Linked DNA regions of Callithrix jacchus. The protein of the gene in region 1 purifies or fractionates together with the protein of each later gene. This does not show direct contact. Links are inferred from orthologs where the notes say so. Each region holds a gene or a part of one and is shown on either strand. Other genes may lie near its edges.

Evidence for each region. The genes of interacting proteins can lie anywhere in the genome.
Region 2: the proteins of SF3B6 (region 1) and SNRPD1 fractionate together in Homo sapiens (co-fractionation; 3 studies listed by BioGRID and IntAct, with this or other methods). This does not show direct contact. The link is inferred for Callithrix jacchus from reciprocal best matches to the Homo sapiens genes SF3B6 and SNRPD1.

What each region holds. Positions count from the first base shown.
Region 1 is NC_133515.1:91,183,720-91,187,003, forward strand, and holds the end of SF3B6 (splicing factor 3B subunit 6), read left to right. Parts: intron 1-2,204; coding exon 2,205-2,343; intron 2,344-2,510; coding exon 2,511-2,600; 3' UTR 2,601-2,780; downstream 2,781-3,284.
Region 2 is NC_133514.1:64,585,617-64,589,368, reverse strand, and holds the start of SNRPD1 (small nuclear ribonucleoprotein Sm D1), read right to left. Parts: upstream 2,599-3,752; 5' UTR 2,502-2,598; coding exon 2,488-2,501; intron 1-2,487. UniProt on the Homo sapiens protein: Plays a role in pre-mRNA splicing as a core component of the spliceosomal U1, U2, U4 and U5 small nuclear ribonucleoproteins (snRNPs), the building blocks of the spliceosome.

The sequences.
Region 1 (3,284 bases):
TCACTTGAGGCCAGGAGTTGGAGACCTGCCTGGCCAACATGGCAAAACCCCATCTCTACTAAAAATACAAATGATTAGCCAGGCATGGTGGCACACACTTGCATGAGAATTGCTTGACATTATCTAAAAAAAATAAGAAAATAATGTTAGCTCAGTGCCCTATACATGGTACAAATACATGCTTTTAAAAGTTCCAATTGGCCAGGCACGGTGGCTCATGCCTGTAATCCCAGCATGTTGGGAAGCCGAGGCAGGCAGATCATGAGGTCAGGAGTTTGAGACCAGCCTGGCCAACATGGTGAAACCCTGTCTCTACTAAAGATAAAACAAATTAGCCAGGCATGGTGGCGGGTGCCTGTAATCCCAGCTACTCAGGAGGCTGAGGCAGGAGAATCACTTGAACCCAAGAGGTGGAGGTTGCAGTGAGCCGAGATAGCGCCTTTACACTCCAGCCTGGGCGACAGAGCAAGACTCCATCTCAAAATATATATATATATATATATATATATATATATATATATATATATATATATATATATGTTCAGATTATAATACAGCTCTCAAGATGTGAGGCTGATAATTAAGACTGGGACACTTGAGATGGAGGGTCTTTAAAGTGGGGTTAGTATCTATCCCTATGCTGGTTCCTAAGAAGATGTAAGAGGAAGAAAGAGAGTTGCTTTGTTTTGAGCTTCCTGGAGAAAGTATGTGTGAGAGAATTGATAGGAAGTAGATCTCCACCTTTCAAAGGCATATTAGCATCTGCCTTATGTGTGGCACTATAGGAGTAAATGAAGTAGGCATAAGATCACCTTTGCTCTTAAAGAACTGAAAATCTTGTTAAGTTTTTAAAAGTCAAAAGTCTGAAAGTTGTTAAGACTTCCCAGATCCTAAAGAACATTCTAAAACCCGAGATCAGGCCCACGTAACCTGACAAAGTGAGCATACTCATTGACACTGGCACCCTCCAATCACCCCCAGCACCCTGCACCTTTTCAATGTTATAGGAAGCAGAAGCTTGAGCAGGGCCCGGACTATAATCTTGTCCTAGATCAAGTCTAGGCATGTGCCTCCACTTCCCATGGCTCCACTGCTTTTATTCAACCCTATGTAGGGACTGTGGCAGATGGAAAGCCAACAATCTTAAACCTCATTCCACGGTTGCACTGGGTGGTCAGAACACAGATGGAGGCAAGGGGGCCATCTTGTCATCCAGAGCATGAACTGAGTGGGAACTCTACCCATTGTCCCCACTGACAATCACATGGCCAGCTGCTGCCTACAATTTAGTGTTCTGTTGCTCCTCACACTTCTCTACCTCTCTCAGAGGAAGCTGATGAAGTGAAGGAAGGAAGTGGCCAGGAATACCTACACTAACAGCAGCCCCATATCTATGAGTAAGGTCTAGTTTCCACTTCCAGTCACCTTCCAGCATTCTGCCCTTGCTCACAGATAACCCTATCTATAAGCACACTTCCACTCCCATCTTTGCAGAAGCCTAGCCCTTCTCCCCAGCCATACAGCTGTATCATGCATTAGAGTTTGTATTAAAAAGGCATTGAGTTGTATTAAAAATGAATGTAGACCAGGTTTGGTGACTCATGCCTGTAATCTCAACACCTTGGGAGGCTGAGGCAGCTCAATCACTTGAGGTCAGGAGTTCGAGACCAGCCCGGGAACAGGGCAAAACCCTATCTCTACTAAAAGTACAAAAATTAGCTGGACATGGTGGCACATGCCTGGAGTCCCAATTACTTGGGAGGCATGAGAATCACTTGAACTTGAGAGGCAGAGGTTGCAGTGAGCTGGGATCATGCCACTGCACTCCAACCTAGGCAAGAGTGAGGTTCCATCTCAAAAAAAAAGCAATGTAGTGCCAGACAGGGTGGTAAGAAGCTGAGTTCTGGGTAGTAGCTGTGTTCCTAGTATTCCTGATATAGCAGTAAGCTTGACCTATAGATGTTTTACTTAAGATAAAAACAAAAAACAAAATTACCGAATTCAAGAAATTACAGGCTTATCTAGTTATCTATGCGTGTTTATTTCCTCTTATGGTTTCAGGTTGGTTTCAAAATATTTAAATTAAAAACATATTTCAGTTTACTGTCTTTAGAAGACAGTTACCAGTTTAAAAGACAGTTCTGTTATTCAACTCAATGCTCAGGTAAACGTATATCTTAATTAAGTTTGATTTAACTCTCCAGGGGGAACACACCTGAAACTAGAGGAACAGCTTATGTGGTCTATGAGGACATCTTTGATGCCAAGAATGCATGTGATCACCTATCAGGATTCAATGTTTGTAACAGATACCTTGTGGTTTTGTACTATAATGCCAACAGGGTAAGTATAGCCAAGTTCTCCTTGTATGGTGATCTCATTTGAAAATTAGTGTAGAACTGTGCTGTGACGATATATGTCTACTGTGACTATTTTTTGGCTAATGCTATTGGTGAAATTTATTTGGCTGTAGATCGGTAATTCAACTTTGGTGCTTACTGCATTTCCAGGCATTTCAGAAGATGGACACAAAGAAGAAGGAGGAACAGTTGAAGCTTCTCAAGGAGAAGTATGGCATCAACACAGATCCACCAAAATAAATGTTTTCTACATTTTCATTTTGGACTGAAACCATGAATGACAACTACCATCTTTTCCCTTTTTTTCCTTTTTAATTAATACTAAATATTGTGATTTCTTATTTTAGGTTCAAAATGACCTTGAAACTTTGATACATATCAGAATACATGATATTAATAAACCTGTTGCTTTTTGTGAAACACGTCTGTCTTTTCTTTTGAACTTTCCCTCCCTGTTTGATACCAGGAAAAAAATAGTTGAAGCTTATCAGGAATTGTAGGTGCTCCTAGGGAGTCCGAGTTTCTTGAAAACAGGACCTCTTTATATTCTTAATGCCTCCGGGGTCCAGTGCAGTGCTTAGCCGTCAAAGGAACTTGCTGTTTATTGAATGTCTATTAATAATGGATCTTTATAACAACTCAGTGAAGATAGGTATTTGCATTTTGCAGGCGAGGAAACCAAAGCTCATGATGTTGGGTGAATGAATAAAATGCTAACCTACAAAGCTGGTGTAATAGCAACCAAGCCTTTACATTTGAATGATGCTTGCTTTATAGTTAACAAAATACCTTTGTCAGTATGGGTACCCTTGTCTTAGAACAGAGGTCTATTCTAGAAATGGTCATTTAGATGGTAGTACACTGTTAGAAACTTAGATTTGCCTCTCTAAATTTTTTTGAAAATTATTATGGGTATATAATGGT
Region 2 (3,752 bases), on another chromosome or scaffold:
AATTATTTTCAGATGAATCTTTTAATATCTGAATTATTTTTACTTAGAGAAACTTAGATATAAAATAGTCAGATAATAGTGTCCCTCAGTATCAAAACACACTATTTGAACCCAAAAACCAATCAAAATAGGATAACGTGGGACACGTGTATGAAGTAGGTAACATTGGCAAACTCAGCAACTTATCAAATGTCAAGAACATCAGGAGAGAAAAAGTCAAGCTCACCTCCCAGGTTTTTGGTTAGGGTGACAGTGAGGATAAGGATAACACCGCCAATGGAGATACAGAAATAAAAGTCTACTGAAAATGCAAACTAGTCAAACAATCACTTTCTGCAGGAAAAATACAGTCTCCAGTAAGAAAAAAAACTGTTTCTATATTTTACCTAAGACACAAAACAGGATTCAGTACAAGTATTAAAAATTACGGGAAAATTGTCTTAACATGCAGTATCTTTAAATGGGACAAACGGGATCCAACCTGTATTACATAAAATTGAACTATGAGTAGATTACGATTCAGCTTGGCAGGTATGGAGAAATTTCAAAAAACAACAACAACAACAACAAAAAACCACAGAGATAGAGTCTCTGTGTCGCCCAGGCTGGAGTACAGAAGTGGCGGGATCTCAGCTTACTGCAACCTCCGCCTCCCGAGTTCCAAGTGATTCTCCTGCCTCAGCCTCCTCAGTAGCTGGGATTATAGGAGCGCCTCATCATGCCCAGCTAATTTTTGTGTTTTTAGTAGGGATCGCACCATGTTGGCCAGGCTGGTCTTGGATTCCTGACGTCAGGTGATCCGCCTGCCTCAGCCTAAAAAATGTACTTTAAATTCTAGGACTTTTTTGGAGATGGACTCTCACTCTGTCATCAAGCTTAAGTGAAGAGGCACGAACTCGGTTCACTGCAACCTCCGCCTCCCGAGTTCAAGCAATTCTTTTGCCTCAGCCTCCCGAGTAGGTGGGACTATAGGCATGCGTCACCATCCTGAGCTAATTAATTCTAGGACTTCTTATCCAAAATTATAGTTCAAATAAAAATACACTAAAAATTAACCTTAAATGTCTTTCGTACCAACTCCTCCCTGAATATAATTTTTTTTTGGAGACGGAGTCTCCCAGGCTGGAGTGCAGTGGTGTGATCTCATGCAACCTCCGCCTGCCCGGTTCAAGTGCTTATCCTGCCTCAGCCTCCCAAGTAGCTGGGATTACAGGCGCCTGCCATTTTGCTCGGCTAGTTTTTGCATTTTTAGTAAAGACAGGGTTTCACTATGTTGGTCAGGCTGGACTCGAACTGCTGACCTGAGGTGATCCACCCGTTTCAGCATCACAAAATGCTGGGATTACAGGCGCGGGCAGCCTCCTCCCTGATATTGAAGGTCAGTTCATGTTATTTAAAACGTTTCGAACTAACAAACGTTATTTCAGACGTTATCTACTTTTCTGTAGTCACCACTAATCAGAAAGCTCCAACAAAGCAGGGACTTTGCCTTTTAAAAAATTCTATTACCAGCGCCTAGTATATAACAGGTGCCCATAAACTATTTAGCGGACATTGACAATCCTTGACTCAACAAGAGAGAAACGAGCTAAATATTTATAATTGCTGGCTTAGTCATGAGAAACGTCTGCCTCTGTCCCAGGTTCAGTCTCAAGGAAAAACACTAAAACCAAATCTACTTGCAGGTAGTAATTATTCACATCAGTAAAAAGTCTTCAGTACATTCACCTAACCGACCAGGTTTATTTATTTCGAAAGAAATAAAACAGGAGAACTATGTATTATCTGGATAATCAGCCACAATTACGTTATGATAGTTTCTGCCCTATAGGATATTTTCCTAAATCAAAAGCCTACCTTAACCGGAAATTGAGGTGGAATAATCATTCATAAGTCTAAGGAGTATCAAAAGATAAAAACCAGCCGGGCGCGGTTGCTCACACTTGTAATATCAGCCCTTTAGGCGGCCGAGGCGGGCGCAACGCTTGAGCCTAGGAGTTCGAGACCAGGTCAACGAAGTGAGACACTGTCTTTATTTAAAAAAAGAAAAAACTAAAACAAAAACTTGTGGAGCCACAAGTCCTTCTCCGACTTAAAATGTTCTGCAAAGAGGTGTAATTATTTCCAGATAAGCTCACACAGCTTCTAAGTACTCTTAAGTGAGACTGGAATTTCACTCAAAAAGAAAATCAGTAACCACAAGAGCGACCTGCGCCCCGGCGGCGCCGCAACCTAAAATCTCTAAATCACTAGGCGGAAAGAAAGCGCTCGGCCTTTATACCCATCTCTTGGAAAACACCCGGGATCCCTGCGCTACCCACGCGGAAGCCCAAGCCAGAGAACGAGCGGAGGGCTCAGGAGGCCGGCCGTTAGCAGGCCGCGCACACGCGGCTTTCCCGCCTCCTGCAACTGGGAGACCTCAGCCTTCCGGACTCCGGGCCAAGCCCGCCCTTCACAGTCCCCAGAGCTACTTGGTCACCCCCTCACCTCACAAGCTTCATCTTAGCAGCGCCGTCACCCTTTGGTTCCGATAGCGCACAAAATCCAATTACCGAATACTGATCGACGGCAGTATGAATGGCCGGAAGCGTCTACTCCAGGGCCTTCGGACGTAAAGAGCGCGCAGAGCACTGAGGACGCACGGCGGAAACGCCGAGGCTGCGCTGGGCCGCACTCCCTTCCGGCCACGAGGAGCGCGACTACGGCCCCTGGCGGCTGGAGGTTGCCTTGAGACGGCAGAGGGCCTCGAGGGCTTGTCTAGGAGGAAAAATGTCCTGCAAGAGAGGGAGATTCCAAGAGAATAAATCCAGTTAATAGCATTGTCGCACTTTGGGAGGCCGAGGCGGGTGGATCACCTGAGGTCATGAGTTTAAGACCAGCCTGGCCAACACGGTGAAATTCCGTCTCTACTAAAAATTCAAAAGATTAGCTGGGCATGGTGGCCCGTGCCTGTAATACCAGCTACCCTGGAGGCTGAGGCTGGAGAATCGCTTGAGCCCAGGAGGTGGTGGTTTCAGTGAGCCGAGATCGCGCGATTGCACTCCAGCCTGGGTAACAAGAGCAAAACTCCGTCTCAAAAAAAAATAGTACTGTCACCATCACGCTTCTGAACAACAGGGCACCGTGTGTACAGCACCTAATATAAATTCCTTACTGAACGAAAAGAAGTTCTGAGAGAAACTCGAAGGATTATACTGACTCTGTTCCAACACCAGGAGGTCTTTGGCATTACTTAACATACCTGAAGAAAATCACACAATGGGCTGGGGGCCAGGTTCATGCTTGTAATCCCAGCACTTTAGAAGGCTGAGGCGGGTGGATCACGAGGTCAAGAGATCGAGACCATCCTGGCCAACATGGTAAAACTCCGTCTGTACTAAAAATAAAAAAATTAGCTGGGCATGGTGGCTCGCGCTTGTAATCCCAGCTACTCGGGAGGCTCAGGCAGGAGAATTGCTTGAACCCAGGAGGCAGAGATGCAGTGAACCAAGATCATACCACTGCACTCCAGCCTGGGAGCAGAGAACTCCATCTCAAAATAGAAAGGAAAATCACACAATGTAGAGGATTATTTTCACTTTAAATTTTGATCTATAAGAGAAACTTTTCAATCTTCTTCTTTCTCATCTCATCAAAAAAAATTTTTTTTTAACTTTTTTGAGATGAAGTCTTGCTCTGTCGCCCAGCCTGGAATGTAGTAGTGCGATCTCAGCTCACTGCAACCTCCATCTCCCGGGTTCAAGCGATTCTGT